Linked DNA regions of Astyanax mexicanus. The protein of the gene in region 2 purifies or fractionates together with the protein of the main gene of each other region. This does not show direct contact. Links are inferred from orthologs where the notes say so. Each region holds a gene or a part of one and is shown on either strand. Other genes may lie near its edges.

Evidence for each region.
Region 1: the proteins of ribonuclease P protein subunit p21 (region 2) and rpp40 purify together in Homo sapiens (co-immunoprecipitation; 3 studies listed by BioGRID and IntAct, counting the BioPlex papers as one, with this or other methods). This does not show direct contact. The link is inferred for Astyanax mexicanus from reciprocal best matches to the Homo sapiens genes RPP21 and RPP40.

What each region holds. Positions count from the first base shown.
Region 1 is NC_064411.1:30,814,189-30,830,503, forward strand, and holds the start of rpp40 (ribonuclease P protein subunit p40), read left to right. Parts: upstream 1-8,127; 5' UTR 8,128-8,249; coding exon 8,250-8,366; intron 8,367-9,343; coding exon 9,344-9,485; intron 9,486-9,593; coding exon 9,594-9,662; intron 9,663-12,848; coding exon 12,849-12,944; intron 12,945-13,941; coding exon 13,942-14,049; intron 14,050-14,735; coding exon 14,736-14,934; intron 14,935-15,036; coding exon 15,037-15,171; intron 15,172-16,315. Other genes in the region: fitm1l (fat storage-inducing transmembrane protein 1), read right to left, coding at 1,344-1,983, 4,454-4,632. UniProt on the Homo sapiens protein: Component of ribonuclease P, a ribonucleoprotein complex that generates mature tRNA molecules by cleaving their 5'-ends. Also a component of the MRP ribonuclease complex, which cleaves pre-rRNA sequences.
Region 2 is NC_064423.1:28,899,235-28,915,648, forward strand, and holds ribonuclease P protein subunit p21, read left to right. Parts: upstream 1-11,810; 5' UTR 11,811-12,282; coding exon 12,283-12,336; intron 12,337-12,424; coding exon 12,425-12,525; intron 12,526-13,195; coding exon 13,196-13,275; intron 13,276-13,408; coding exon 13,409-13,543; intron 13,544-13,973; coding exon 13,974-14,065; 3' UTR 14,066-14,526; downstream 14,527-16,414. UniProt on the Homo sapiens protein: Component of ribonuclease P, a ribonucleoprotein complex that generates mature tRNA molecules by cleaving their 5'-ends.

The DNA.
Region 1 (16,315 bases), on a different chromosome or scaffold from region 2:
TAAAGTGTGGCGCTACTTTGAGCTTGTTAATGATGTAAAAATAAGCATTTCTTTGCATTGGGTAACACTATGCCCATACCACTTTCATTGTGAGCCAGTTGGGGGCATCGGCTAAAAGCACTGTATTTAGGAATGCTGGGTTGATGGGGCGAATGGAGGTGGGCTGTTCGACAAAAGTTTGAACTCATTATAAATACGTCCATATCATAGTGGACCTTTTACAAAATCATTCTGTGATGAATAAAGAAGAAATTGCTAAGTTGTTAAGAGTGATGCTAATAATAGCTTGGTTGTATTTATTGGGCTGTAGCTCAGCAAAAAAGCTAGTATAAAGTCTCTGGTAGTAAAAAAAAAGGGATTAGGCATTCCCAGTGGCTGCAAGAGGTATTTGTGTAATGCATGCTGGGTATTGTAGTAAGAGACCAGTGGAATCCGGAGCATTCCAGCCTGACTGAAACATAAACCTGCAGACACACATGGTGCCCTATCGTACACCTTGCACAAGGAGTGGTGCGATGCTTGTTGCTATCTTACATCCTGTGAACAGTTTATTATCATGCCTTGCATTAAAATTGCATCGAAGTTTAGGAATATATTTACATCGATGTCCGTGGTGGATAAGAAGTGGGGTGTGTTCAGGTAAATATCTGTCATGTTTCAATTTTGGCGGTGGGAAACACAACTATGCCACTGACTGATTAAAACCATGATAACTGTCAGCCGCCCAATCATATCTTAGCCATGCAGGAGTACCAAGCGCACAGCGTGCCCTCAGCCAGGGCTGATTCAAGGCATTTGGTGGCCCCAAGCAAAATGGACCCAACCACATACTATCACTACCTCAACAATAAACATAATAAAGAATAAAATTACATTGCTGTTTTCTTAAATAACCTGCTGCTGGTGTATCTTCACAGCATTAATGCGCAGGTCAGTATGAGGTTCTTAAAAGTAATGGAAATTAGTGCACTGATTGGTTTATTTCATGTTACGCCCAAAACAAACCCATGATTAATTAAGAGAATTAGTACATTCCTTTTGTAAGGTGTATTTTTAACTATAGAGCGCTAAAATAGGGCCCATGGTCACCTCTTTATTAGACCCAGGCCAGGATAAAAGGCCTCTTTCTTGACCTCCTTATAAGCACAGTTTGTGTAAATCCAAAAACTTCTTGGTGTCAAAATTGTTGAGATAATTTGTTACAGTGACAAATCAAAAGAGATACTTAGTAAACGTACTAGACTAAATGGAAACACTGACACTCATTACTGCTTCAGAAACATTTCTGAGGTAGTTTTTTATTTAAAGAGTGACATCCTGATCATTCCAATCAAATTCCGTCTTTATGTAGTCAGAAGCCCCATCCCTGGCCTTCCAGGGCAGTACCAGCTTGGTCCCATGTGGTACCAGCCCTGATACGTTGCTCTCCAACTGAGGCAGGCCAGAGCGCCCCCTAGGAGCTGAGTGGGGAACTGTGGGAAGTAAGCCAGCAAACAGAAGAGCAGGAAGAGCCAGAGGCTGAGCAGCAGGACGCAAAAGAGGAAGATGATTCGCAGAGGGGCCCCAGAGACCCCGCCCAGTTTCAGGTAGGGCCCGAACACGCCAGTCTCCTCTGCAAGCAGGAGGCAGCACAGACACAGCAGGAAGACGTCCTCGGAGACCTCGTAGCCGCGCCACATCAGGCCGGCACTGACACACGCGGCCTTCGTCTCGCCCTCCCGTAAGAGCAGCAGCGGCTGACCGGCACCATTCTGCCCGGCGGAGAGGTCAGGGGCAGAGCTCAGGGGCTCGTAGCAGCTCCCTGTAGCGTTCTCTAGCAGACCCAGGACCTTTCTCAAGCCCACCCACAGCACCCCCGCTACAGCCAGCCGTGACAGATGGCGTAGGGTCAGCGGGATCGACCGCCGGACAGAGAAGGTCAGGAGGAAGGTGAAGGAGCCGACGAAGATGCATGTCCAGCCCCAGCCTGACCGCAGGAACACCCTGAGAGACAGAAAGACAAGATATTAAAAAAAAATTAGTAAAACAAATCAGAAAATTTTCATTTCATTTTCAATTTTCATTGCAAGATTGGCTCAAAAATGATATACACTTATTTACTGTAGGGGGAGCCCAGGAGCAAAAAAAACCTTTTCTTGCATTATGCTGCTTTAAAATGCTGTGGATGCAGATAACCTCTTTCAAAGACTGACCCTCATTTTGTCCTCCATAGCCCCACCCCCTTATTGCTCACCTGTGTTTTGTTTATAACCCCACCCAGTAGGTGTTCTGAGGTGTTCTTTTTGTGTTCTAGTTCTGTTTTAGTTCAGTTGTTTTTTAGTGTTGTGTTTATGGATTCCTCTTCTATCAACATGGAGTTCACAGACAGTCCCCTAGCCTTTTATCTACACTCAGCAGCCACTTTATCAGAAACACCCAGCAGCATGAGGCAGAGTGTGGGAGGTGCTGGATCCTGATTAGCAGGATGATGCCATAATAAAGACATGTTTATTTATGTCAGTTATTCTTCTAAGTGCTGATAACTGCCATCAGCTGATGTTATGCTGCATTTCATTTGTTAGGATTTTCCTAGTTTTAAGTAGGAAATTTCCATTAAGTCATATTTCCTTTTTCAGAAAGTCAGAGTTTCACAATCCAAGAAGGATGCATTGCACATCAACAGTAGTAAAAGCAACAGTATTATACTGCACTTTCAGTTTGGGTTTACTTTGATATATTCAAAATCGGTGTATTAGTTTTTTAGTATCTGGTATGAATTTGGTGTGATATTTCATATCCGGTATGAGTTGTTTATTCAGTATAAATTATTAATTATCTGGAATTATTGGAATGTACACTATCCAATATAAATTATTCAGTATCCTGTATGAGTTGTTTAGCATCCATCGTATTTTCAGTGCCCATTATGAATTATTCTGTTTCAGGCATAAGTATGCGGTATTAATTTTTTAGTTGCAGGTATGTGTTATTCAGTTTCTGCTATGAATTATTCAGTTGCAGGTATGAGTTCTTCAGTATATGCTTTGAATTAGTCATTGGCAGGTATGAGTTATTCAGTGTCTAGTATGAACAGTGTTCACACGCACCTCAGCGAGTTCACACGCTCACACGCCACACATGGTATTTCTCACGATTGCCAATCCAATCGGCTGTATATTATAATGTACTCTCGTTGAGCCAATCAGAATATAGATCGCTCTGTTGTTAGGCAGACCTAGTGAAAGAGGGTGGAGTTTTAGGCAGAGTGTCAGGCGCGAAGAACTGTCCGATTCGAAAGTTCCGAAACACACGCCGGTGAACAACTGAAGAACGGTGGCAACCCCGCCCCACCCAATCACCCCGGTTTAACAACTGAAGAACAGTTTTAGCTATGAGCAATTCAGTGTCTACTATGAATTATTCAGTATCCAGTATGGCTTGTTTAGTATCAGGTATGAGCTGTTTAGCATGAATTATTTAGTTGCAGGCATGAGTTTTTTTAGCTCATCTAAAATTTATCATCTAAAATTTATCTAGTTAGAGTGAGAGTTGGAGAGTGTGGAGTGTGTGCAAGTTAGATTTGAGGTAAAGGTGAGCTAAGGTAAAAGTTGCTCAGTATCCAGCAAGAGTTGTTCAGTATCCGGTATGAAACTGGGTTAGCCAGTTACAGTGAGAGTTGGAGTGTGCACTGTTAGAGATGAGGTGAAGGTGAGCTCAGGTATGAAGTGTTTAGTATCCGGTATGAAACTGATGTGTAAGGCAGTAAAACTGTATGCCGTTAGAGTTGAAGTGAAGGTGAGCCCAGGTATGAGGTGTTTAGTATTCGGTACAAGTTATTTAGTATACGATATGAGTTGTTGAATATCCAGTATGAAACTGATGTGTAAGGCAATTAGAGTGAAGGTTGGAGAGTTAGTGTGCTGTTAGAGTTAAGGTGAAGGTGAGCTCAGGTATGAAGTGTTCAGTATCTGCTATGAGGTGTTCAGTATCCGGTATGAAACTTATGTGTTAGAGTTAGAGTAGGAGTTGGAGAGTTGTAGTGTGTGCTGTTAAGAGTTGAGTTGAAGGTGAGCTTAGGTACGAGGTGTTCAGTATCCGGTATGAGGTGTTTAGTATCCAGTATGAAACTGATGTGTAAGGTAGTTAGAGTGAAAGTTTGAGAGTTAGAGAGTGTGCTGTTAAAGTTGAGGTGAAGGTAAAGCTCAGGTAAAAGGTGTTAAGTATCCGGTATGAAACTGATGTGAATTAGAGTGAGAGTTGGAGAGTTAGAGTGTGTGCTGTTAGAGGTGAAGGTGAAGGTGAGCTCAGGTATAAGGTGTTCAGAATGCGGTACGAGGTGTTCAGTATCCGGTATTAATCTGATGTGTTAGGCAGTTAGAGTGAGAGTTGGAGAGTCGGAGCATGTGCTTTTAGAGTTGAGATGTAAAGGTAAAGGTAAAGCTCAGGTATGGGTTATAAAGTGTGTGTTACTTACCTATAAAGAAAATGACTCCTCTTGGCGAAAACACTGTACTGGGAAACCCAAAAGTTCAGCAGGGGTCCAAAGACCACCATGGCCGACAGCAGCAGGTGAAAATGCCGCCGGAATAAGGCATTTCCCAGCAGTCCTGCCGCAAGGTCAGTCACAACCACGAGGAAAGTGTTCAGGAACATTTGTGCAAATGTGAACCAACTCCAGCTGATCGGCTCAACTCAACGGATTCCCTCCAGAGTCCCAACTCAATCTGTCCTAATCAGTGTTCTTCCACATCATTCCTCTCTGGGGCCGGTTCTCTATTAACCTTTAGTAGATCTCCATATTCAGCTCAGCTCTTCCAGAGGGTCTGGATTCTTTAGTTCCAACAGCAAGTGTGCTCCTGTAGTGTGCTACTGTATTTATACTGTAGTTTTCCCCTTCATCCAATAAATATTCTGCCATTAACAAGTCATGATTCCCTCGTTTTTGTGGTCTGACTGTAAGCATGTACAGTATCTCCTGGTATTTGCTGAACTGCCCAGTTGCTCCAACTTACAGCCTTGAGACCAACACCCCTCCCACATTTCAACATGACAGAAAAAGATCCATCCCCATGGTGTAGTCCCACCCCCCCCCATGCCCTCACATTTACACTCACACATGTAATCTAATGCAATGATCCTCTGTATGTTATTTTAATTGAGTAGTACTAACACTTAAATAAATATGATTTAAGAATACAGCCTAGTGTTAAATCTTGATGTTTCTAAAGTGTGGACTTTTCTAAAAAATAATAGAGGTGCTTGTAAGTTTTCTGAATCAATATTTCTGCATACTTTTCCTAAAAGTAGACAATGATATATGTAAAAAATGAAATGAAATGAAAAATATAAGACTTTTTTTTAATGAATGATCTATTTGTTATCATTCTTCATCTGTTAATAAAGAACGATCTAATGTTACATATCTGTGGGCATTTTCAGTCACTGATAAAGGCCTTTTGGAACAATGTTTTGTGAAGGGATAAGACCAAAATTTAGTGTTATGTTTGAAGAAAGTAACATCTTTATCCTATCTGTGAAACATGGTGGTGATAGATTCATGGATTGGTCCTTTTTTGCTATATCTGGGCCTGCTGGATGGCTTGCAATCACGATAGAACAATGGTTTCTGAATTATATCAGCACATTCTGAGGGATAATATCTAGACATTTGTCTTTGAGCTAAATCTTGAGAGAACGTGGGTCATGCAGCAAGACAATGACCCTAATCATGCAAGTTGTTTTACCAAAGAATGGTTAATTAAACTATATTGACCTTAATCCAATATAAATTTCCTGGAAGGAGCTGAAGTAGCTGGTCATGTGAGAAAACACACCAATGGGCTACAATTCCTACAACACTTACAAAAAAAAACTTTAGTTGTTTTCAGTTTTTAGATACTGAAAACAATGGTTTATATACTCTCGCCATTCCAAGATGATTTAGGTCAAATTCATGCAGAAATACGGGAAATTTTCCAAACTTTTAAGCACATCATGCTATTGTTGTGTTGTTGGCAGATGCATTATCAATTGGTATTTCATTGGTGAAGAGCAGAATGTGTTTAAAAATATACAGCACCAGCAAACTATGGATGTACCTGTAAATGTGTTCTCTGTTAAAGGGCTAAAGCAGACCTTAAATCCACCATGGACCTCTTGGTCCAAGCATTTGGAACTGCAACATGACCCAAAAAAGCTGTTATTTCAGACGAAATGGAGCCTTACTAAGTGCTAAGCACTAAACTCTGTAAGGTGTCCAAGCTTTTGCATAAGACTGACATTTGGGAAGGGTTAAGCGTGGTGACCAGCACGAAGCGCTGTGTCTCTATCTCTGCTCTTTCTATTTTTAGCTTCAGCTGTTAGGGTCAGCACCTGGGAGTATTTATCGCCGCCTGTCCCGCTATCCGTCTGTGTCTCACAGCTCTCTCACAAATAAAGCCCACCCTTTCAGCCTACAGTAGAGGTCTGCACTCCCGCGGGAGTCCCGCGGGACCCGCGGGACCCGTCAGAATATGTTGCGGCGCGGGACAAAACTGAATTGTTATTGGCGGGAGCGGTAATTTAATCAATACAGGCCATGCGGGAGCGGGACCACATTAACATGTGGTCCCGCTCCCGCAAATTGATAAATAGTTAAGAAAATTATAATAATCACGCTATGATTCCCATGCAAGCAACAAAAAAACACAAGAAAAATCTCTCGGAGGATGGACACACACACACACATTTTCAGCATCTCCAGCAGGCGTGTGCAGAGGAGGGGGGGGGGGGGGGAGGGGGGTGTGTAATTTAAAGGACGACATTTACTATACTGGTGCAAAATAATAATAATAATAATAATAATAATAACAATAATAATAATAACAATAACAAAAACATTGTTATTATTATTATTGTTATTATTATTATTATTATTAATAATAATAATACAAATATTAATTAAACTAATTGAATTTAATTTTTTATATTTTTACATTTATTATTTTATATAATATAGATCCACTTCTAATCCACTTCTAGGATTCTTGATGCACCTGATGGCATGTGTTTGGACTGCGAACTGAATTGCTGTTTTAATAAATACATATGTAAATTTGAAGCACTAAATGTAATTAATTCAATTCATATTAGGACTGCGGGACGGGAGCGGCGGGAATGTGTATGTGGCGGGCGGGAGCGGGATTAAAAGAAGTGATTTTTTTGCGGGAGCGGGCGGGAGCGGGACAAAAAGACGCGGGAGCGGGCGGGAGCGGGTTTAAAAAAACAGTCCCGCGCAGACCTCTAGCCTACAGTCTGTTTAGCCCCGCCCATTCAGCCTACAGCCACTTCAGCCCCACCCAATAGTTTTACCTATTCAGCCTACAGCAGTGTAGCCCATCCAAATATATAATTTTTCTAAACGTTAAAAATAGACCTAATAAATGCAATAAAAAACACATTGCAATCAGCAATCCAATTATGAAGAAATAGAAATATAATATACATTACTATGCACTATACATTAATTAAATATAATTAACTAATAATATATTTAATTAGAAAGTAATATCATTTAATCATTTATTTAAGATTAATGGCAGATATTTGTTTACAACCGTGTCACTTCAGTTAAACACAGATATACAGCTGAACTGATGAATATATCAGCAGTATTGGGATGGTTATAACACATATTGTGTTTTTTCTTCCTTTTTTTGGGTCGATCTTTTTTAAGACTTGAAGAGGAAGTTGGGTAAGGAAATTCCCCTCAAAGACCAATATATATTGTATATTTTTGATGAGCCTTCGTTTGAGCGCAAGGAAAAATGTATAGTAAATTTAATTATAATTTTAGGTAAATTTGATATTCACAAAAATAAATTTGCTTTAAAAATACCATAATTCCAGATTTTTGTCTATTCAGACCTAAAATTTATTTACACTTACTGACTCATTTTATTAAATTAAAAAGTAGGAAATCACAATTTTCTTTTCTCTGTTTTTTTTTGTTTGTTTAGGTTTGTTTGTTTGTGTTTTTGTTTTGAGGTGCTTGCGATGTTGCTTGTATATGATGTGTTTTTCACTTATTATTGAGATGGTTATAAGTATACAGAGTTAGTTGTATACAAGGAGACGCACGTGCTCTCCGGGTCAGTAGGGGGCGGCAGGGGCGCGAGCGGGTCAAAAACACGGTTCAGCCGGCATGGTGAGCAGTGCTGTACTGTCAGTGTGTCTCCCCCCTGCTTTATTATAAATTAGTTTTTAATAATAACACAATTAAATAGAGTAAGATGAGCCCGGAGCTGGAGCAGTGCCCGCGGAGTCTGTTAGTGTGTGAAAAAGGAAACTTCAAAAATGAGAAATCCCGCCATGAATCCCAGGCGCTGAAACACAGCTTTAACTGCAGGGTAAGATACTGTTCCACCTTAAAAACAGCTGCAGCTACAGCGCTTCTCAGCACAGTTTAAGGTGGAGCGGAGAGCCTCGGTTATAAACAGTACATTATTACTACTAAATCAGAAAGAAAGAGAGACTGCAGTGGAAGTGAGGCTGGTGTGTGTGGAGTTATTACAGTCTGTAGTCTGTATATCAGAGTAAAATTTACCAGACAATAAATTAATTAAAATTAATAAACTTGAAATATTGAGTGGCATACATTCTAAATTTACATTTTAACAATGTTTTTATGGGCTTAGAACTTGTATTGTAAAAGTTTAAAAATACCTTTGAAAATATCTCGTATATTTGATATCCGTAAAATATCTCCAAATGTATTTTGGATATAGGTTATAGATTTGGGCTAACTCGTATTCTATTTTTCATCTTCTATCATCTCGTCTTATTTTTTTGTCTATTTACTCCAGTGTTATTTTTTAATGCATCCAAACTTATATTTACTAAGAAAGTTATCTTTAACATTATAGTTTATATTAATGTCCCCAGCTTAGATCCAGTCATCTAAAGTTGGTCCTTCTTGCTGTAACCAGTTTGTTGTCAGTTGTTTTTTTAACTGGATGCTAAAAGAACAGCCAAATACATATTAGTTCAAATTTGTTTCATGTCAGGGTGGACATAGCCTAAATATAGCATCTTAAAATTAAAAAGGGATCTCCCTTCTAAATATGCTTTACAATAACTCAAGTTTATCAAAAGTCAGATAAACTTCATATTAAAATATAAAATGCAGATTTAAATAGCTTTTAAGCTCTATAGGAATTGTGTTGATTCAGCTTGTCAGTTCACTGTTTAAATACATGAGTTCCCTGAATTATTTTAGGCCATTCTCTTGTAGCTGTTAAATGTGAATGTAAACTGTAAAAATAAGGGGTGTTTATATATGTAATGTATATAATGATAAATATAATATATAGTTTTTTTCATGCAGATTTCCTTATTGATACCTGAGTGTGGAAGACTGCCTGTGATGCTGGAGAAAGTACTTAGTAATTTCAGCTCATATTTCCATGTCCAAGACTTTCCAGTTTCTACATTCCTGGAAGAGAAATGGCTGGATGCAGTGAAGAAAGGTAGGAGTGAGGAGGAATTCGAGAGAGTGGAGGAGTTGAGAATAAGCGGCTCAATTCAGTGCTTGTGGTGTGATGGAGTCCTTTATTCACTGTTTGTTTATCCTTCAGGAGGTTTCTATGCACTGTCTTCCAAAACCAGAATTGATGAGGACAATGTTGTTGCTGTTTTGCCCAGCGGTAAGTACCATAAGTGCATACATGCAGTAATGTGCAAAAAGTGTGTGTGTGTCCTCAGTTTTCATCATTTTTGCAATTTTTTAACATCTACTTTGTTTGGTCCAGACCTTCAGACTTTTCAGGTGTTTGGTCTGAGCTAAAATAGTAGTAATAGTGAAAACTGCCACAAACCACAGCCTGTTCCAGAGGATTTAAAAAGGTGTCTTGGTCTGGATACACTGAACCCTGGTTTGGTTCAATTACAGTGTAAAACATTGGTGTAGATAGTTTGACTCTTGGACCAATTACAAGAAGTTAAGGCACACTATTGTCAATTTAACAACAGAAAAAGAAAAAAAAACAGAACCAGTGCTGTGCCATAATCTGAGAAACCTTCACTTGTAACGCCTGTCACATAGCAGTATAGGTGGAGAGCTTTACAGACCCTCCTGTATCAAAGCAACCCTAAACTGTGAAATCTCACTTCACCATACTTGTCAGAATCTCAAGAGCTATGAATGAGTTCAGGCTGCAGCTGAGTTTATCAATGCGCTTCAACTCTGTAAAAAGAACACATTTCTGCAACACAAGCCTTCTAATATTATTAGAAGACACACAATAATCCAAATACTTATGAGGTCTGTTATCTCGTTTTTAACCACCTACCATATTCTTCACACAGTAAGGCACATTGTATTATAAGGCACACTATTTTTGGAACTTTCAGTCTACAATCTGATACACTCACCACTAATTGGCAAAAGAGTAAGCGGTTAACGGCTAATGCTAATGCTGCTCCAGTCTCGGTGGTGGAGAACTAAACTGAAACTCCTGTACTTCAGCAGAGTGGTGTTACTGCTCCTTACAACCTGACTGATAAAATTCATACATAAGGCGCACTGCCATAAAAGTCACATGAATTCAGATCTGGCTGTTCAAACACAGCCTTAAATCAGATATATTACTATACTATCACATGATACAATCAAATTACAGAACACAGTGGAGCCGCAAAAATATGAATCCTCCTGTTATTCAGCAGAAAACCTGATGGTTTCCTTCTTCAACATGTGTTTTGATGTTATTTTGTAGGAGGAACTGGGCTGGAAAATCAGAATTTTTGAGTGGTATTGCATTTCTGTGTGGACAAAGATATTTTTAAAAATCCAGACAAAAAAACACTAGTGGAGGGTGCCCCCTGCTGGCCGAACACAGGTGTTCCAGGCGTTGTGCTGAATTCTGCCTCCTACCAATGGATGTGTGTGTCATGCAGCAGAATGATACCTTTATTTCTGTTTATAATCAAGGTTTAGTCTACAGTTCTAGCACGTACAGGAATCACCAGATTAACCTGCTGCCCATACAGGACCTAGGCAAGACTGGTTCTTCTTCTTCTTCTATTGTTTAATGGGTGACAATATCTATAGTCTCTTAGTCTCTTTCTGATGGTAGATACAGTATCTTCCAAACCATCTAAAAAAAGTGTTCACACTGGAACAAACTGAAAAGTCAGAAGGTCTGCACCGAAAAAGCTAGGTGAAAGCTGCTTAAACGAGCAAATTTAAATGTCATGTTTTTTTTTTTTATAGAACCCTTAAAGGTCTCATTTTATCGTTTTTTTTTTTTCCTCAGTAATTTTAAGATGTGCTGTGGTCTCTTTAAAAAAAGCTGTGGTCTCTAGTATGAATGAATGCCATGTGAGCTGTTTTTTGTGAATAAAAAGTGCTCCAGTGATTCTGTATAATGCTACTTTAGTCCAGTGGAGGAGTGGAGGGAGGAGTTGGCTGAGCCGCAGTAAAATCCTGGGGGGGATTTTTAATTTAACCACTGTAAACAGAACTGTTTTAAACACACACCTACCTATCTCGAATGTACTTGGCTGGTGTTGTTTTATAGACAAATTCTAACCATTTGTTCCTTAGCTCTGAATTACTGGGTAAAGACCATAACTCTGATGTGTTATTTGCACAAATAACACAGGACTGAATGGCCATGCTGTTCCTAACGCTGTTAGCTCATGTCTGACAAGACGGTGGTGCTGTCTGGCCTCAGCTCTGCCTGTGGGCGGTGTGGGACCCTAAATTAGGATATTAGGGATCAATATATGTTATATTACTCATATATTAGTACATTTGGCCTTATATGAACGAGTTCATTGAGTTCAGTTAAAACTCTGTCTGCTCTTCCTCAAGTAAGGCCCAGTCTGCACTGGGTACGGCTGTGAGGGGGAGACAGATAAGAAATATGCTGAGTCATACCAGGTGTCTCAAGAGGCCCAATATCCCACGGGAAAGCTGGGCAGGAGAAGGAAAAGTGGAGCTAAAAGCCCCCACCTTTGTTCACCCAAATACTGTATAAAAGTGTGTGTATTCCTCTGTATTATCAGAAGACTGAAGCTTCCTGGCTGACTTCAAGAACAATAAAAGATCAACTTAGAACTTCGGAAAGACTGGTCTTCTCCTTTCTTTAAACTTAAGGCTCTCGTCTGTTTTTACCTTGTTTCTTTTGAACTTAGAACTTTTGTAGTGATGCATGACTAGATAAGTTTTAGAGCTCATTTTAGCTAGCCCAGGCTTCCCTTTCTGGGAGGCCTAGAAGAGTCGTGAAATAACGCACGACAGCGGTCACAAGCCAAGGTGGGCGAGGTCATGAATACTAATTCACGGGTTGATGTAGACACGGTGCTTTTCCTGATCAACTCGTTTTTCTGAATATTTTCTTTTCTTAGCTGCTGCAGTCAATGGATGTTGAGGAAGTGTTTCATGTGCAGCATCGTATACAACTCAGAGAGACCTGTAGTATTTCACAATACAATGATTACACTCAGCTCATGATTTAGTTTCATTCTCAATTCTATATTCTCACTATGATTTGGACAAGAATGAGTTCTGTTTTCTGTAAGTGAATGAATAGAGTTAACTGTTCACTATTCACTAACTAGTGAAAGAGTTAGTTCTGCATTAGGGTAATGAATAGAATGTCTGTACCCCACGAGACTCAGTTATGTCTTAGTATTAAGATCAGGGCTTGGTAATGCATTTCTGATCCCCTATAAAATACATTTAACACTGATACAAGGATGTAACATAAAGCTACAATACTATATCAAAAAAAGTGTAACTCTCGAAACAGACTGTGCAAGATTATGTGTGTGGTTTAATGTGATTTTATTTAATTTAACATTGTCTAATGTGTTTTTTGTTTCAGGTCAGCTGATCTTGTCTCTGGATAAGGACACATATGAGCAGCTGGGCCTGGAAGGAAGACCTTCCCAATACAGTCACAGAAAGACCGTCAGACACAGTAATGCCTTCAGTTAACCAGAGGATTTCTTAAAATATTAAGATGTACACATTGAACTGTATCCACAGTGAGTGCGTTTATATACACATTTCATAATCCGATTATAAATAGGTTGCTGCATCCTACTTAAAGGAGAACTCCGGTGTAAAAAAGACTTTTGGTGTAGTAAAACATGATAAAAGAGTACTTACCTTTGATGAATAGCCCACCTCCGCTCTCCAGCATTTTTCCGAGATCCATTTATTTTGTGCTTTTTGCCCAGCACTCTTTACAACAGGCGCTTCAGGGCATCTACTTGGCTCCTGCAGATAAATCGCTTTTTACACCGTTATTCAGGCTCAAAGTATCTCCATCTCTCATTGGTAGAATCTGGGGAGCCCTAACATTTAAAACAATACATTAATAACTTTAAAAGTGCACAAGAAGCTTAATAAAAATCACTGTTTGTAACCCGTAGCGTAACCCTCATGACACCAACATTTTAAAGTAAAATATTGATCAGTACAGTGATGGCGGTGCTCAGAGATTAGTTTACGCTATGGGATATAAACAGTAGTTATTAATAAGCTTCTTGTGTATCAGATTTAATTTTTAGAGCTCAGATTTTTGATCTCAGTAACATCTACAAATCATATAAACAAATCTAAAAAAAGAGTGCTGGAATTTAGCTCAGTAATCGTATTTCTCAGTTCATCTGATTTTTGGGTTTTAAATAATGTTCACGATGCATCTTATTATGTGAGATTATTGGCTGGTAGCAAAAAAAAAGAGTTTTTCCATTATTTGATCACCCAAATTCATGTAGATGAATTTATTGGATTGCTGACAAACTGATCCTCCATAATCAGATTATGAAGTGCATGTAAACTCTCTTAACATAAAAAAAAAACATTTACTGAAAAAAACAAACAAACAAAAAAAACAGAAATCAGACAATTTTAATAAACTGTTACTGTCTCATCCACAGGAATGTTTATTTATATTTCTATTTTTACAGTTGTTACTGTGGATCTTAAATCTTTGGTTCTGGGCACGAAGAAATATCAGCGGGTTCTGCTGTGTCTGAAAGAGAGAGTTCCACTGAAAACCGACTTCCTCTTTACAGGTCTGTACCCGATCACCTGAACATTAGTCTGGAATTAAATCTCTAAAAATTGCTGTAAAACATCATAGAAAACATCTGGAGTGATTTATAATGAGGTGCAATGCAGACTGTACAATTAGTACAGACATCATTTACATATAAAAGAGCCTTAAAGGCCTATACTGTGAGGGAACAATGGACTCTATTTTAACGACCTACCGCGCACCAGGCAGCTTGATTTAGGGTCAGTGTGTCTTTGCTATTGTAACAACAGGAAAAGTACAACATGCACGGCTCAAAATGTGCAAAAATTAGTCTTGTACTTGCAATTCCCTTTAAGAGTCAGGTGCACTCTGACTTTGGTGAATTATTATTTCAAAGGTGAAGCTACCTGGACATGTCCAACGCTTCTCCGCAGATAAAACTGTGTATTAATGTAAAAGTACACTGCCAAGATAGCAATGAACATCTGACTGTTGAAATTTACCTGAACACACCTTAATTCAAGACCGTTGTTTTTATTTAAATGATGCAGAGACAAGTCATAAAAATATACATGACGGGATGTAAGATAGCAATGACCATTTATTACAGTTACAGTTATTTTTGACCTGTGCTAATATTAGTTTTTTTTTGGGTGGTGGGATAATCTGAGGTGTCAGTGGGCGTACAGTATTTGCTGCATTGTAATTCCCTGTGTTGCTCAGCTGCAGGTGGAGCTGTATCTCTCCTGGACCTGCTGTCGAAGCAGTTGTATGAGGAGTGTAGACCTGCTCTCCACTGCCGGACTCTGCAGGACCTCCTGTGCCCCTCGCTCATCCCCTCTGACCTGAAGGGGGAGAGCGGTTCTGTCACGCCGACCCAGTTCCTGGAGTGGCTGGGGGCGGTCAGTCTCAGTATCAGCTGGTGAGCAGGCTGTGGACTGTGTTTGTGTGTGTGTGTGTTGGGTTTTTTTTATGATGGGTGGACTCTTAATTAAGAGATGCTGTGGTGGTTGTTCTGTTTCAGTGATAATCAGGCGACCAGTTTCCTGTCCACCTACGCGTGTCCAGAGCCTCAGAGCTCGGTCAGTCAGGCTCTGCTGTGCACAGTGACCGGCCTCATCTCCCCGCAGGACGTCTGCAAACTGCTGACAGAAATCAGGTGAGCTTGGTGTCTTTAATGCTGTCTGATCCTTTAACAGATACAGGGGTTGGACAATGAAACTGAAACAGTTCTGGTGGAAACAGGAGAGTTAAGGTGCACATTGAATTCTGTCTTGATTTGGGCAGCCTTGGCTTTATGTTTTTTGGATACAATCTGGGTTAGCACCCGAACATCCCTTTCAGACAGCTTCCTCTTACAGCGTCCACAGTTAATCCTGTTGGATGTGGTTGGTCCTTCTTGGTGGTATGCTGACATTACCCTGGATACCGTGGCTCTTGATACATCACAAAGACTTGCTGTCTTGCTGCAAGACGTGCACCAACAATTCGTCCTCTTTTGAACTCTGGTATGTTACCCATAATATTGTGTGCATTGCAATATTTTGAGCAGAACTGTGCTCTTACCCTGCTAACTGAACCTTCACACTCTGCTCTTACTGGTGCAATGTGCAATTAATGAAGATTGGCCACCAGGCTGCTCCAATTTAGCCATGAAGCCTCCCACACTAAAATGACCGGTATTTCATTGTCATTGTCCATGTATTTTGATACTTAATACTTTAATGTTTCTAGTGATTTATTTCCAAGATGACAGCACCAGCACATACAGTGGCTTCTCTTTACTTTTAAGAACTGTATGCACTGGTTCACTTTACCATCCTTAAGCTTTTATACCTCTATGGTTGCACTGATGTTTACACAGGTTCTGTTCTGTTTACAATAGTACTACTGTCTTTCCCTCTAAATCTCCCATCACTATTGCAGTATTGTCTTGTGTCTCTTGTCTTGTATTCTTGTAATCAAGAAGAGCAATGCTGTTTACTAATACAGATATTGGCTAAAATGCTAATACGTCTTTTGGCTCTGTAAACATGGTAACATGATTAATTTTCGTAAAAAAAAACATTTACAGTTTCTAGACTAATCGCATGCGTTAATATTGACAGAACTAATAGTAATGTAAACAAAACAGTGTAAATAATGTAGTGTAAAATCTACTAAAATATTACAGTGCAGAATATTTGGTGCATGCATATAAACTGCAAACAAAAATAACTATACAAAAACTACAATTTAAAGCCTCACATAAATAAATAAGAGTTTTTTTTTATCACAATTTTACTGTGTCAGTGTATTATGTG
Region 2 (16,414 bases):
GCTCTTAATGTTCTTAAATGCCTATCTGGATGTGACTGGGGGGCTGACCGATCATCACTCCTTTATATGTACAGAGCACTGATGAGATCAGTTTTTGATTATGGTTGTGTGGCGTATAGGTCTGCATCTACAAACACTCTTAAAAAACTGGACCTGATTCAAGCTCAGGCATTAAGATTATGCAGTGGAGCAGTGAAATCGTCCCCTGTGGTATCTTTGCAGGTGGAGACTGGGGAGATGCCCTTGCAGTTACGGAGGTTGGCTTTATCCACTGTTTACTGGGTCAATGTAAGAGGACATGAGCGCAGTCATCCAATGTCTACGGTTATTCATGACTGTGTAGACGACATGCATGGGATCTCTAGGAGTTTTGGATGCCTGGGTACTGGAGAGGCTGAGGGTATGGGTTTAAGGAACTTGACGCTGTGTACAACAGTACCTAGGCCAGTAATTCCTCCTTGGCTGTTTCCAGAACCTGTTGTTGATTTGTCTATACACGACCAGCTGTCTGCAGATGTTGACAGGTCTGTGTATTCTATTGTGGTTCGAAGATATTTGGCACAGTCTTATTTTAATGTTTTGCAAGTTTACACAGATGGATCTAAACAACCTATATCAGGAATTACAGCGGCAGCTGTCTTTGTTCCAGACTTTCAAGTTACTATTGGTAGGAGGTTGTCTGATAATTTGTCAGTGTTTGCAACAGAGCTTGTGGCTATCGTGCTGGCCTTGCAGTGGGTTGAGGAAATTTGCCCTTTGAGTCTGGTCATATGTTCTGACTCTTTATCAGCTCTCCAGAGTCTACGTACTGGAAGGTCCTCCTGTAGGCCAGACCTACTTCTAGAAATATGCCAATCGTTGTTTAGACTCCAAATGCAGCGCATACATGTCAGCTTTTTGTGGATACCAGCACATGTAGGAGTGGAGGGGAATGAAATGGCAGATGGGATAGCTAAACAATGTTTAAATCACCAGGAGTGTGACCTTGTCATCCCTCTAAGGAAAGGAGAGATTCAAGTTCTTATTAAGAGGCATGTTCGGGCAGTATGGCAGAATGAATGGACACAACAATCTAAGGGCAGACATCTTTTTAACATTCAGCCTGGGGTTGGTTCGAGTTCAATGGGAGGGTCGGGTAGAAGAAATGAAGTGGTGTTGGCTCGTCTTCGTATAGGTCACACTTTACTGAATTCTTCCTTACAGCTGATTCAGAAGCATGACACGGGGCTATGTAGATACTGCACACAAAGGGAAACACCAGAGCACGTGATATTACACTGTAAAGAATATTCTGAGCAGAGACAGTTATTATTTGACACACTCAGAGTGAAGGGTCACAAGGATTTTTCTTTAAAGGGTTTACTTATATATGGGTCAGGGATGGGATTAGTGCACAAATATGTTTTGTTGTTCTTGAAGTCTATTGGGTTGTATAATTTAATTTAGTTTTTTTTTTTTTTTTTTTTTTTTTTTTTCTTTCACAATGTAGTCACTGTCCTGAAGTCTTGATTCACCCTCCAGCCTAGTAGATGGCGGTAATGCGCCAGTAATTGGCCTGCCAACCGCCATAAAATTGGAAAGAAGAAGAAGAAGAAGAAGCCAATCAGGGACGTTCACTGTTCTCCGCAGCTGATTAACTAGTCAGTTCGTCGGTTAAGGAACATTTAACGGAGGAAAACCACGATTTTTTTGTTAACGTTAATCTGTATGTTATTTAATGCAGTTTTTTCGGATTTATCGAACAGAATGGACGAAAGCAAAGCAAACGAACAACTTTAGTAACGTATTAGCAGAATTCTAATCGAAGGAAATGTGTTTATCGTCGAGTTTTCATGAAGGAGGCCCATGTTTCGACAACCTGCAGTTACTGTGAGTTAGCTAGCCTAGCCGACTAGTTAAGCTAGCCAGCTAACTAGCTACTGAACTGTTAAAGGCTAAAGTGTTGTTTGTCTGCTCTTTTAACAATAATTGTCGTTTATTTCCGTGTATATTACCTAAATGAGTGAGATCTAAGCTATTCTAGTTGTTTACAACACACAGTGGTCGTTATAAATGTAACGTTAGTCCGAATAGCTAGTTAACGCTAGTTTAGCTAGGTTTACCTTTATGCTAACTAACCTAGATTAGCCAATGGAATGGAGTTCGGACATTAAACGTTTTTAATAATGTTGCTATCTTATCTACTTAACTAAATAGCTTAATTATGGAATATTACTGTGCAGTCAGCTTCTAGCTACTTTTAAGTTATATGTTCTTTGTGTGTTTGTGGTTTCGTTTTAGTCAGGTTATTTTACTTTACTTCTGTGTAAAATAAACGTGATCTAATCTTTGTAACGTTAGTTATTTGCAACAGAGGGAGGTTAAATAAATGTTATCTAGACCTTTTGAATTGCATTTTATAGGAAAATACAGTTATATAAAGTATACACCGTTATATATACGGTATGTAAAGTTGGTGAATTAAGGTGAATTCTGGCAAAGGTCTGAAACTGTTTAATTTGAGTTGTGTTGCAAAGAATATACGGTTTTATTTAGAAATTATATGTAAAATAATATATTATATTATATTATTTTTATTAGCTTGTTCTTTGTTAAAGAAAGTATTTTTACTGAAATCTGGAGAGAAGTAGATGGCGCTCTAGGAGCAGGGTTTAATCTGAAAAGAAATTATGCCACCTGGTGGTAGTGTGGTCACATGGCTTTTCAAAGGGTTGTCATTTTTGTTCGTTTCTTTCGTATCCTCACTAACCTGGTAGATAAAATCATAAAGCATTTGTTAATCCCAGTCCTACCTTGACGTTTTTCTCTGTGTTGGTACATTTGTATGCAATACTAATGCATTGATAAAATGACAGCAAAAGCCTCTTAACATTTCTGTGCTGTATAAGCTCAGTCTCGTAAAGTATCGTGAAGTGGCACCAACCAATAGCTTTGTGCGTGGAAGCATTGGTGGTTCAGTGGTAGAATTCTCGCCTGCCACGCGGGAGGCCCGGGTTCGATTCCCGGCCAATGCATCACATTTTTTCTTAAACCCCCTCCTGAGTTAAGATTTTTTGATATCTCAGTCCGATTATGTGCTGCAAAAGTTAATCAAATATTTATTTTCCTTTTTTTTCCTTCAGTTTATGAAATCACAGTCCACAAGCTTCCTTGTATTGACTTCTTGCGAACCATGGGAACGTCTCCTCTCACTGCTTTGGTGAACGAAGTACCTGATAAGACATTTAAACACGTTGTTATTATGATTTTTCTCTTTTACATTTATATAGATTTCTGTATTGTTTTGTTGCACAGGTCATTGAAATGAACAGTTTTTTCAGGTTTAGTGGAAGACATGACACTCACTCCTCGTTAGTATAGTGGTAAGTATCCCCGCCTGTCACGCGGGAGACCGGGGTTCGATTCCCCGACGGGGAGAGTACTCTTTTATTTCCCCTTATTTCACCGCGGTCACGCCATCTGCACTTAGAAAACGCTCGGTCGCGCTATCCACACCGAAAACTGGAGTGCGCGTCTAAACCGTGTTTTACTGTAGCAGCGTGTCCAGCGCACCCGGAGGAGCAGAGACTGGCGCTTCTCGTGCAGAGACTTAAAATGGAACAGAAACTAGTTTTATACCTAAATAAACATGATTTAACGAGATCTAATCCACAAATATACACCAGAATGAACACTGCTTATCGGTAGAACAGTGTAAAGTTTTGGAAATGTTTGGAGAGCTATTAAATAGGCAAATCAAATTGTTATCATATCACAGCACTAAATTCTTAGAGATCTTATTCTCACGTATCCCAGATATATGTTTGAAGTGATATTACTGTATCATTTTGGAGTAATTGGATACCAAAAATGTCCATTCAGTTTTGTAGAAAAAATTTGTTTGGAGTGCAAAAAAATCTAATTGTTATCATATCAGACAATGAAATCCTTGAAAAAGACATTCCATACTCTTAATGTCATGCACGTCAAGTGATTTTGCTGTATCATTTTGGAGAAATTGGATACCAAACTTAGGAAAAATGTCTATTCGCTTTTGCATAAACCACATTTCAAAGTCCTATAAAAGCTGGTTTATAGGACTTTGAAATGTGGTTTATGCAAAACTCACCTACTGTCCTGCAGAGCTCTTTAACTGTACCGCGGAGGTTTTTAACTGTAAAAAGCTCCACAGGACAAGTAAAAAGCTCCACGGTACAGTTAAAAAGTTCTACAGGACAGTTAAAAAGCTTCGCAGGACAGTTAAAAAGCTCCACGGTACAGTTAAAAAGCTTCGCAGGACAGTTAAAAAGCTCCACGGTACAGTTAAAAAGCTTCGCAGGACAGTCGTTGAGCTTCTCAGGCCAGTTAAAGAGCTCCGCAGGACAGTAGGTGAGTGTCGCGGGACAGTACGTGAGTGTGTACTAGTTTCTGTTCCATTTTAAATCTCTGCAGGAGAATCGCGAGTCTCTGCTCCTCGGGGTGCGCTGGACACGCTGCTACAGTAAAACACGGATTAGACGCGCACTCCAGTTTTCGGTGTAGATAGCGCGACCGAGCATTTTCTAAGTGCAGATGGGGTGACCGCGGTTTATTTTTTTTCTGTTTTTTTTTTAATGCTTTATTTTAAAGCAATCCTTTCAATGACTAAAACGCCAATCCTGGTGAAGTGTTTCATACAGTGAATTTTCTTGTTCCTTTTGAACGTTTTCACTTGTACTGCAGCTTTGTATAGCCTACTGGCAAACGTCGTGACCACTCCTCGTTAGTATAGTGGTAAGTATCCCCGCCTGTCACGCGGGAGACCGGGGTTCGATTCCCCGACGGGGAGAGCAAAATTTTCTTTTCTTTTTTCCTCCTAAACTCTGCGGGGACTGTTTTATAAAATTATTTCTTAGATGAACCAAAGCTTGAAAGCTGTTTTAATGTTGCACTGTTTTAATGAAAACCTATTTTATGTAACTAAAGTAGCTTAATTTCAGTAAAACAATAGTGTTTACACCTAATATTTAATCTTGGGCCGGGGTTTTGCAAAGAGATTGTCTTCTAGTTTATTGCTTATCTTTTAGTTTATTCATTACTATAGCTGCTTTATCTAAAAAAAATGTAAAGAAGACTAAATGACAGAATAAACAATAAGGTTGACAGTTGTCCACAGTTTGCACAGGATAATTGACTTTTGGATGGTTTTAATGTTGGTTAAATATGCTTTTTTTTTTTTTATACAATTAATGACTGTCCCTGTTTTTGTGCTTGGTATTATGGACTCAAAAGCTGTGACTCTCAAATTGAAAAGAAAACTTATTTTGTGTACCTAAAGTAGCTTATTAAAGTACATCTAATGTATCATCTCTCGCCAGGGTTTGTCATTTAGTTGTCTGTAAAGCTATTGTAAGATGACGATTTTCCTGGGGTGGTCAAGGGTTTTGTGACAGTTTGGCCGGTTAGCTCAGTTGGTTAGAGCGTGGTGCTAATAACGCCAAGGTCGCGGGTTCGATCCCCGTACGGGCCAGTAAACTTTTATGTACTTACTGTGAGGAAAATAAGTATTTAAACACCCTGTGACTTTGCAAGTTCTCCCACTTAGAAATCATGGAGGGTTCTGACATTTTCATCTTGGGTGCATGTCCACTGTGTGAGACACAATATCTCATAAAAAAAAATGTAGAAACCACATTTTTTTTTTTTTTTTTTTTTTTTTTTATGAGACATAAGTGGACATGCACCTAAGATGAAACACCTGTTTATGACCTCAAACAGGTGCTTCTATTTTAGAATAATAAGTGGAGTGGAGATGGACTTTTAAGAGGAGGAAAACAGGTCTTTGAGGGACAGATTTTTTGTTTATTATGATTGTCTTTCACAGGTCTCTGCAATATTTTCAATGCCACATTGTTGGCCATGGCTGTAAGTAGGACAGCACTATAAATCTGAATCAAGTGGTTTGTGGTTATACTTTTCTCTGAAATGACCCATTTAACACAGACTTGGCCGGTTAGCTCAGTTGGTTAGAGCGTGGTGCTAATAACGCCAAGGTCGCGGGTTCGATCCCCGTACGGGCCACTAGCCTCCCCCCACCCCAAATAAACACAACTACCTTTAGATTCTATGCAAGTGGAGTTTATCACACTCATCTATATGCACACACGAATTAATCATACCCTGAATATCTAAATTATAAAAATTAAAATTAGTTAACCACTGTACCATTATGTATGCAACATACACATAACAAAACATAAAGAGCCAGATTGGGGTTTGCTAGAACTTGAAGGCAGTAATTTTGTGGTTTGCCTTTTCAGTAACACCTAGTAAGTAAGTTAAGTGTCTCTTCATACTTTTTTGACAAAGTGCTGTTAGTTTATTATTTAATTTACACTCACTAAATGTGTCGGTCCACAGGCCTGCAGCTACTTTACAGTTTTTTTTTATCTGATCTCACACCTGCTTCAACTGTTCATTGCATTGTAATGTAAGGCACCAGTGCTCCAAGAGCTGGGGGTATTTTATTTTACTAGATTACGTGATCTATAAATAGTATATGAGCTGTAAATCAGGCCTTTTCAACAGGATGGATAATGATTAACCTTAGCAATGGACTGTATTGGTACATGGCCAGTTGAACACTCACTCCTCGTTAGTATAGTAGTGAGTATCCCCGCCTGTCACGCGGGAGACCGGGATTCAATTCCCCGACGGGAGAATGCCTTTTAGTTTATTGCTTGCTTTATAAAGCTGGTTCATCTAAAAAAATGTGAAGAAAACTTGCTACATGTCCATTAACTTGTTTTATGAGTAACGTGGTTGGACTGTTTAAAATACTGGTAGGAAACAATATCAAAATTCTAAATATGTTATACGGGTGTTTAACAATCTGTGTATGCCCCCGACTGTGTGCTTGGTATTATGAACTCTAAAACTGTCAATCTCAAACTGTGAAGAATTATTTTATGTAAAACTTAATTAGCTTTAGTTAAGTAAAAATTATGTTTACACCTAATATTTAGAGACAGTTTTACAATCTGTGTTGTTCCAATGCAAACAATAGATACATATGAACATGTATCCTAAAAATTTTGTAATGCAAAAATGTTCTGCAATGTTTTTTGCAGGGGTCCGACACTGTTTGGCCATGACTGTAAGTAGAACAGCACTGTAAAAACTGAATCAAGACACTGTATTGTATTTATTTTTTCCTGAAGTTGCCTTTCCTTGTGGACACTTTGGCCGGTTAGCTCAGTTGGTTAGAGCGTGGTGCTAATAACGCCAAGGTCGCGGGTTCGATCCCCGTACGGGCCAGTAGCCTTTTACCCCTCATTTCAGACACACACAACTACCTTTAGTTTCTATGTACTTGATGTTTATCATACTCATCTGTAAGCACACAAGTTTTAATCATACCCAAAATAGAGAAAAAGAGCCAGACTGAAGTATTATAGAACTTGAAAGCAGTAAATTCATAGTCTGCCTTTTTAGTAACACCTAGCAAGTTTAGAGTACCTTTATACATTTTTTTTGACAAAGTGTTGTTATTTTATTATTTAGTTAAATTACACTTACTAAATATGTCTGTCCACAGGCCTGCAGCTACTTTACTGTTAGTCTCATCTGATCTCACACCTGCATGGCAACAGTGCACCATGAGCAGGGGGTATTTTATGTTATTAGGTTTTGTGATCTAAAAACAGTAAATGAGCTGAAGAAAACTTGCTGTATGTCCATTAACTTGTTTTATGAGTAAAGCAATAATGTTGGCATTGTCCAACAGGTTGCACTGGTTACTTTTTGGACTGTTTTAATACTGGTAGAGGACAATAACAAAATTCCAAATATTAACAATCATTAAATGCCTCTGACGGTGTGCTTGGTATTATGAACTCTATAGCTGTCAGTCTCAAACTGTGAAATAAACTTATTTTATGCTAAACTTAATTAGCTTTAAGTAAAAAAAAAGTATGTACACCTAATATTTAGAGACTATTTTATAATTGGTGCTGTTACAATGCAAATAACAGATACACATGAACATGTATCTTTAAGCTTTTGTAATTGGAACAATGTTCTGCAATGTTTCTGCAGGGCTCCCACATTGTTTGGCCATGGCTGTAAGTAGGACAGCATTGTAAAACTGAATCGAGTTACTGTATTGCAGTTATATTCTTTCCTGTAGTTGCCTTTTTTTTTTTTTACAAGCAGCTTGGCCGGTTAGCTCAGTTGGTTAGAGCGTGGTGCTAATAACGCCAAGGTCGCGGGTTCGATCCCCGTACGGGCCAGCAGCTTTTTCCCCTCTCGTCTGAAACACACACAGCTATATGGTTGGATTCAAAATTTCAAATATGTTTTACGGTTGTTTAACAATCAGTGGATGCCCCTGACTGTGTGCTTGGTATTATGAACTCTAAAGCTGTCAATCTCTGTAGAAGAAAACTTATTTTATGTAAAACTTAATTAGCTTTAAATAAAATTATGTTTACATACTTAAATACTATTTTAGAATTGGTGTTGTTATAATGCAAACAATAGATACATATGAACTGAATCAAGTCACCGTATTGCAGTTATTTTTTTTTCCTGAAGTTGCCCTTTCCATGTAGACAGTTTGGCCGGTTAGCTCAGTTGGTTAGAGCGTGGTGCTAATAACGCCAAGGTCGCGGGTTCGATCCCCGTACGGGCCAGCAGCCTTTTACCCCCTCACGCCAAACACACACAACTACCGTTGGATTAAATGTAAGTGAAGTCATTTTAGAGTATCTTTTATACATTTTTTGACAGTGTTATTGTATTTATTTTTTGTTTTTTTAATTACACTTACTAAATGTGTCTGTCAACAGGCCTGCAGCAAATTTAATGTTCTCATGCCTGCTTTAACTGTACATTGAGTTGCAATGCAAGGCAGCAGTTCTCCAAGAGCAGGTGGTATTTTATGTTATTAGGTTACATGATCTAAAAATAGTAAATCAGCTGTAAATCAGGCTTTCTCAGCAGGAGGGAAATGTGATTAATCTTGGTGATAGACTGTACGGGTACATGGCAAGTTGAACTCTCATTCCTCGTTAGTATAGTGGTGAGTATCCCCACTTGTCATGTGGGAGACTGGGGTTCAATTCCCCGACAGGGAGAATTCCTTTTAGTTTATTGCTTGCTTTATAAAGGTGTTTTTTCTAAATAAATGTAAAGAAAACTTTCTATATGTCAATGAACTTTTATGAGTAAAGCAATACTGTTTGCATTATTGTATCATTGTAATAAGGGTTGTTTAACAATCAGTGGATGCCCCTGACTGTGTGCTTGGTATTATGAGCTTTAAAGCTGTCAATCTCAAACTAAAGAATACCTATTTTATGTAAAACTTAATTAGCTTTAAGTAAGTAAAAAAGGTTTACACCTAATATTTAGAGACTATTTTATAATCTGAGTTGTTACATTGCAAACAATAGATACATATGAACATGTATTTTAAAGCTTTTGTAATTGCAAAAATGTTTTTCAATGTTTTCTGCAGGGGTCTCACATTGTTTGGCCATTATTGTAAGTAGGACATTACTGTAAAAACGAAATCAGGTCACTGTATTGCATTTTTTCCTAGAATTGCCTTTTCCGTGCAGACAGCTTGGCCGGGTAGCTCAGTTGGTTAGAGCGTGGTGCTAATAACGCCAAGGTCGCGGGTTCGATCCCCGTACGGGCCAGCACCCTTTTACCTCCTCACCAAAAACACACACAACTACCTTTGGATTCTTTGTAAGTAAAGTTTAGATACAGGTTGATGGGCCATGTGTGTCTTTGCTGCAGTTGAAAAATATAAAGGAGAACATTCTTTAGTGTCCTATGTTTTGACCCTGACCTGCATACTGCTGAGAAGCTTCCACGCGACTGGAGCGGATGCTTAAAAAAACATTCTTGGCCTACAGTGTGTGTACGGGACCTTCAGGTAGGCCTATGTGTCAAGTCAAAAGTCGACATCTATCATCAAAAATAGACTGAAATTTTAAGAATATGGAGAAATGCAAGAAGGGAATGTATGGTGTCAACAGAAAAAACAATTGTGTGTACACCTGTATGTACTATTTAGACTAAAGTTTTGGGGCACCTACAGAGAGTTTCTCATTACATAACATTTTAAATCTGTGAGCAGTAAATTGGTGTTCCCTTTGTAGTTATACCTAGTGTTAATTAATGAGCACAGCTAAATGTTACTTGATGCAAATTTGGCCGAACTTCCTCCCATAATTTATACTTATTACAGAGTCTGTTGACATGTGAGTTCAGAAGGTAGATTACTTTTTAATTTGTTGAAAACGTTCATGGTATGTCTTCGAAAAGGGGGCAGGTGATGCAGTAATTTATTATTATTTCTTAATTATTGTGCATTCCTTATTTCATGTAATGGGGAGCAATTGGCTTTTATTTTATTGTTCCTTTTCACATTAAATACTGCAGCCTCTGTTATCTGTTGCACCATTCAAGGTGGAACTGGAAAGTTAGTTGAACTGTTTTTACCATTACTATAAAACATTGAAATTACACTGTAGTAATATAATGGTTATCATTACGAGGAAAATACTCAAATTTGTGGGTTTCTTTGGTCGATTGTGCCACTATCTTGCTATCTATAGTATATCCTAGTATATCACAATAATGACTCATTGAAGCAATGTACTTAATAATGAAAAAAATATGTTTTATTTATATGGTGGAAATGGGATTCCATACTTAGTTTGTTAATTCCACACCAACCTGTTGCTCTGGTGGCTGATTGCAGCACCACGCTGAAATTTAGAGAGCTCTAGACTCGCCCATTCTTTCTATAATGTTTGTAAGGCATGCTGCATGATGACGCTTCATTATGTGCAACTGTGTTCCAATACTTCTGTCCATGTAGAGAAGATTCATGAAGATTGATAGGGATTTTTTGTTTTTTGAGGTGAAGTGACAAATAGAAGTGTCACAGTTTGGCCGGTTAGCTCAGTTGGTTAGAGCGTGGTGCTAATAACGCCAAGGTCGCGGGTTCGATCCCCGTACGGGCCATCATTGTTTTACCTCTCGGGGACACTGCACTTATCTGTGAATTAACGTTTGATTATAATAAACACGAGTTCGGTTGTTTAGCTAAAAATTCATCGTTCTCTTTTGAATATAGGATTTTAATAACCAGATGGCAGCATACACAAAAATGTCGAGGACTGAAATCTAACGCTATAAAGTTTCCACGTGAATTTTAGTAACGTTAACCTATATTGGTGTGTATTAAGTGCTTAACCCATTAGACCCTGTATAAACACCCACACCTATAAGAACCCAGACTCATTTCTATACATTGACACCAATTTCAAAATGAAAAAAGATACATTCAGTGAGCAGCTCATTTATGTTTTTCTTATTGTGGGCACATGACTAAATATTTAAAGAAAAAATCACAAAGTAACATAAAATGACAACTATTTCATAAATATTAACATTTTGTTATAGAAATAAGGTCAGAACAAAGAATTTGAATGATTGGAACATACACGTAGAAGCAAATAATACATAATCCAGTTTAGTTTAATCACTTGTGTATCCTGTAAATAAGATGAACAGATTCACACACTGTTCTTATGTCAATAAAGAACTTAATGACTCAAAATAAAGGGCAGAGTGCTGCAAAGAACTTTACAAAGCTTTTAAATGGTCTTTGACACACATTTATGTCATTATGGGTTTTTTTGGGTTAAGTTCTTTACTCTCTACAGAAATAGCATCTGGCCTACAACATAACCCTGTGGAGAGCCACACAATATGCTAAACCAATTACAATGCTCCCAAATAATTCACTATTTTTTAAGTGCTGAATAATTTATCTATAGGGATCAAGGGTATGCTATATACTCACCATAGATTACTTCACAGTTTTCCTCTGTCTCAAGCTTCCTGAAATATCTCGGTAGGAATCCTGTACTGACTTAGCTAGCTCGCAGATTGCAACAGCAAGCTAACTCTAAACAATCTGTAAAGTTTTGGAGAAAAATGTGTTGGAAAAAAGAGAGGACCTGTGTTTTTTGTAGGCTGTGCCTGGAGGGTTTATATGATTTATATCAAGGGTTTGCACAGCGTCTAGAAGTTTCAGAAGCACTGCTTTAACCAAGAAGAATCTTACCGCTCCACTGCTAGTTCCCACAGAAAGGTGGCGATGTGCGACTAATTGCTGCTGTCTGCCAGAAACAACGAGGAAAAGGAGAGTAAACACAAGCGTGAGTGTACGTATGTCGAGTTTGGTCTAAAACTCTCCCAGTAAGGATTATTAAGGCTCTAGAATATAGTGTTGGACACATGGCGGGAATAAAAGATAAAGAGGCTTTCCAGAGGCTGAACTTCCTCTATCAAGTAAGTAACCTGATGAGAAAACTCAACTTTCTTAAGCTAAATAGCTAAATTAAATAACTAATCTCGTTTTTCCACATTTGAAATACAGGCTGCTCACTGTGTTTTAGCCCAAAACCCAGAAAATATTGAACTGGCGAGGTTCTACTGCTTCACCCAAAAAACAATAGCCAGACGACTGGTGCTGAGACAGTGAGTATCAGTCACTTCTACACACAGTTTAATTTAATGGAGGTAATGCAGGTAATGATTTTAACCCAGAGGAGCCCACGGTGACATGTTACAAACCCTTAAAAAGTTGTGTAGAGTTCCTTCATTTTAATTCAGTAAGTCTCTAAGTGACACAGACTGAACATCCTGAGAGCATCACAACATAACACTGTTTGAATCTGTGTAGTTCATCCATCTGACTATATTTATAGAATGTAGGAATGTTGGGTTAGTGCTTGAGATAAAACTAGCTCCTTCTTTGGCTTCTACTGCTTTTTTCAATCATTTTAACAATTCAAATACTTTAATAATAAATATTTGTTCTGCTCTTTATTACATCATGATTGTGACCCAAATTTTTACAGTCATATGGCAAAAATAGTAAGAAAAATCCATGAATGCGAATTTATCTCCTCTCTTATGGGTTAATAAACTGACTATAAAGATACTCTGATGGTCCACTGGATAGGCTGTTCTTGCTGGTTGAACAGGTAAAACACATCAAAACAACCTATGTTGTTCAATAGCTAGACTGGGAATTACTTAAATTAACCAGCTAAGCAAAAATTCTCCCAGGGTTGTTTATTGTAAAACAGTAATTCATTGGAAACTCTTGTGATGCTTGTATAAGATGTACTGTGCCTTCTTACAGAGATCCCTCAGTGAAAAGAACCTTATGTAAGAGATGCTGCTCTCTACTGATTCCTGGAGTTACATCAACTGCCAGACAGAGTATGTTCTGCTCCTCTCCTTTCTGCTGATCCCGGCAGTGATTTATCTCAAGTTTTTTTGTAATGTATAAAAAAATAATGGGTTGGTTTGATAAAATATACCTACATGGATTTGTCTCATCTGAACATATCAGGGAGTCGCAGAAGGCAGTGTGTGACTGTTATACGATGCCTAAGCTGTGGACTGAGCAGAAAGTTTCCAAACAATCCAAAACATCAGCTGTGGGTGGACCAGCCAGAGGCACAGCTAGAAAATCAGCCTCAGACAGGTAAGAATGATGACTCGTCATGATTTATTTCTTTTTAGTAAGCTTAAACAAATAGATGAAATTATTCAATAAACGCTCCTGAAATGTTGCCATATTTTACATTTTCTGGTAGATAGATAGAAATATTTACCTACATACTACCATGTTTATTTATTTATTTTATTTTAAGTACAGTACACTGTAAGTTATATAATGATTATATAATGATGACAAAATCCTGCATTTACCAACCATGGTTATGCATGGGGCACAGCCAGTTCCTTCCCCTGTGCTCTACTGTCTCTCTCTCTCTCTCTCTCACTTATCTTTTAACTACATGAGAATGACAAGATCCTACACCTAACACTGTTTGGTATTTGACAAAATATGTTGTATTTTGTACCTCTACACAGTTTCATATATTTGTCTTTGTTGTATTGTGTGCCCACAGAAACACAGAATCAGTCATCCAAAACTGCAGTCCAGGGTGATACATCTAAATCCAGCAGTGCTGCCCCATCAACACACAACCCTTCCTCATAACTTCCCAGAATCCCTGAACCTCTTCAATATCTGATTTACCACTTCAGACTGTTTATTTCTAATGATGAGGATTATGCTGGTGCTATGATCCACGTCCTCTGCATGTTGTTAAAATTGCAAGACCACTGTGTGACATTTGATTACCTGTCTGTCCAGATGAAAAATGTTCATGCACTGGACACAGGCTCTAAATGATTGCTGTGTTCTTTTGCGTAGAATCTTTACAATCGTTGCTTAATTTATTTTCATGTCCACATTAAAAAGTAGTTTATATGACAAATTCACAGTCTGTACTAAATCCTGGACCACCGTATATATATTTATTGGTTGTGAAGCTTACTATTAATACAATGTTGGGTAGAAGATTGAGTGGCATTGTTTGTTAGAAGTTAGATTTGCCTGGTAAAATAAAGGTTTAAATTAAAAAAAAAAGAAGAAGTGGCCTAACATCATAAAGCATTGTTTGGTGTATGTTTGTTTACATTGAACATTCAGAAGTTAGATCACAACACAAAGTACATAATTTTTACTGCAGTTTTTTTTTTTTCACTTTTAAAAAACTTTACAAAGAAACTTGGTGACAAAAGATTTCATGATCTGGAATGGAAAGATGTTAAGACAGTCTCTGGTATTTGTTTAATAGAAGAGCAGGGGTGCCTTTATTTAGTTCTTTTTTTAAAACATGTTTTTAGTAAAGAGCTAAAGAGCATTTCCCCTGTAGAGGAACAAGGCTAAGATCTTGCCTAACAATATGAGGTTGTATAATTATAAAAAGGTTTTAGATCACAATTCATGTCGTTTATGGTTTTATATTTGTTAAGAGTTTAATTCAAAAGTTTTAGAATTAGAATTGCATGTCTCCCAACACATGTATGCTCAGTTCCTTGTCAGTCACATGCAAATGTAATTATAAATCATTTAGATTAGTGAGACATTTCATCAAAATCAAGTGATAACATATGTCAAAATGTCCTAATAAGATGAGCAATGAATTTACTCTGTAGATCTTTATTACTAGTACACAATTTATAGCTGATACCTGTAATTAAGAGTTTATACAAGTTAAAACTACATTACAGTGATCTTGCATAGGAGTTTTACTGGTAAAATGTAATACTTCAGACATTTCAAAGCTGATGTCTGAAATGTACAATGGCCCTAAGGGCGCATCATGTAAAAAATAATAATGTGTGGCCACGATATAAGGCGTGGGAACAAGATCCTAATTAGATAATTAAGTGGTGGCGATGACTTAAATGTCCACATCTTAAAAATGTGTCCCCAGGCTGGTCTGTTTCGCACGCTTTAATAAGTTGTGGCCAACCCCCTTTTGGTTTTTCACCTTAAGGGCTCGGAGTGTTTTATATATATATATATATATATATATATATATATATATATATATATATATATATATATATATATATATATATATTATTTTTTTTTTTTCAACACTCATTTGTTTATCAGTGAGTTACGCTATCACTACTTGTTATTTTAGGCTAAAACTATTAAAACAATTGTAGCTAGTAACTTATATGTTTGCCTGATTGTGCAAACGTAAGTAACAGACTTAAAATTCATGACATAAGTAGTAGTTAGCTAGTTTGATTCAGGAGCACAGGAACAGCTTGTAAAACTAGTAGCTAACACAATAATTTGGTACTACACTATTAAAATGTCACAAGAAATTGGTTCATTGTATTTAAACTGTAAGGTTGCTCAATCTAACGTTACCTACTAACCTAGACTAGCTGTAGTTCAGCTGCTGGTGAAACAGTCGCAACACTAGCTGATGAAACGAACTGAACATACTTACGTTTGACGTTAACTACCTAAAATATCTGTGAAAAACACCTCACGACGGCAGTTCAGACATATTAACAACTAACGTGAAGTTTACTAAAACAAATAAATACAACGTGATTAAGTTTAGCAATGTGTTTAATATATGGTGTTTCTCGAATGTACAACGTAGATTCATGAACCAGTGTGTCGATGCAGTAGCTTCATGGGCCAGTGGCGCAATGGATAACGCGTCTGACTACGGATCAGAAGATTCTAGGTTCGACTCCTGGCTGGCTCGATTTTTTTTTTTTTTGAGAAAGGTTTTAGTTTTATTTAATTGTGATTGGTGGGGTACTGTATGGGCAGTACTTTGTCCTGAACCATTTTAACTTGTTAACTTTGTCTTCTTGCATGAGGAAGACTTGAATGTGGTCGGACCTTGTATGGGCGGGGCTGGGGTCTTCTGCATTGGGATTGGTTGGATTTTCTTCATGCAGATTGGTTGGAAGTTCTGTGGGCGGGGCTAGAACTTGTTCATTGGTTCCATCAGACAGGGCATGT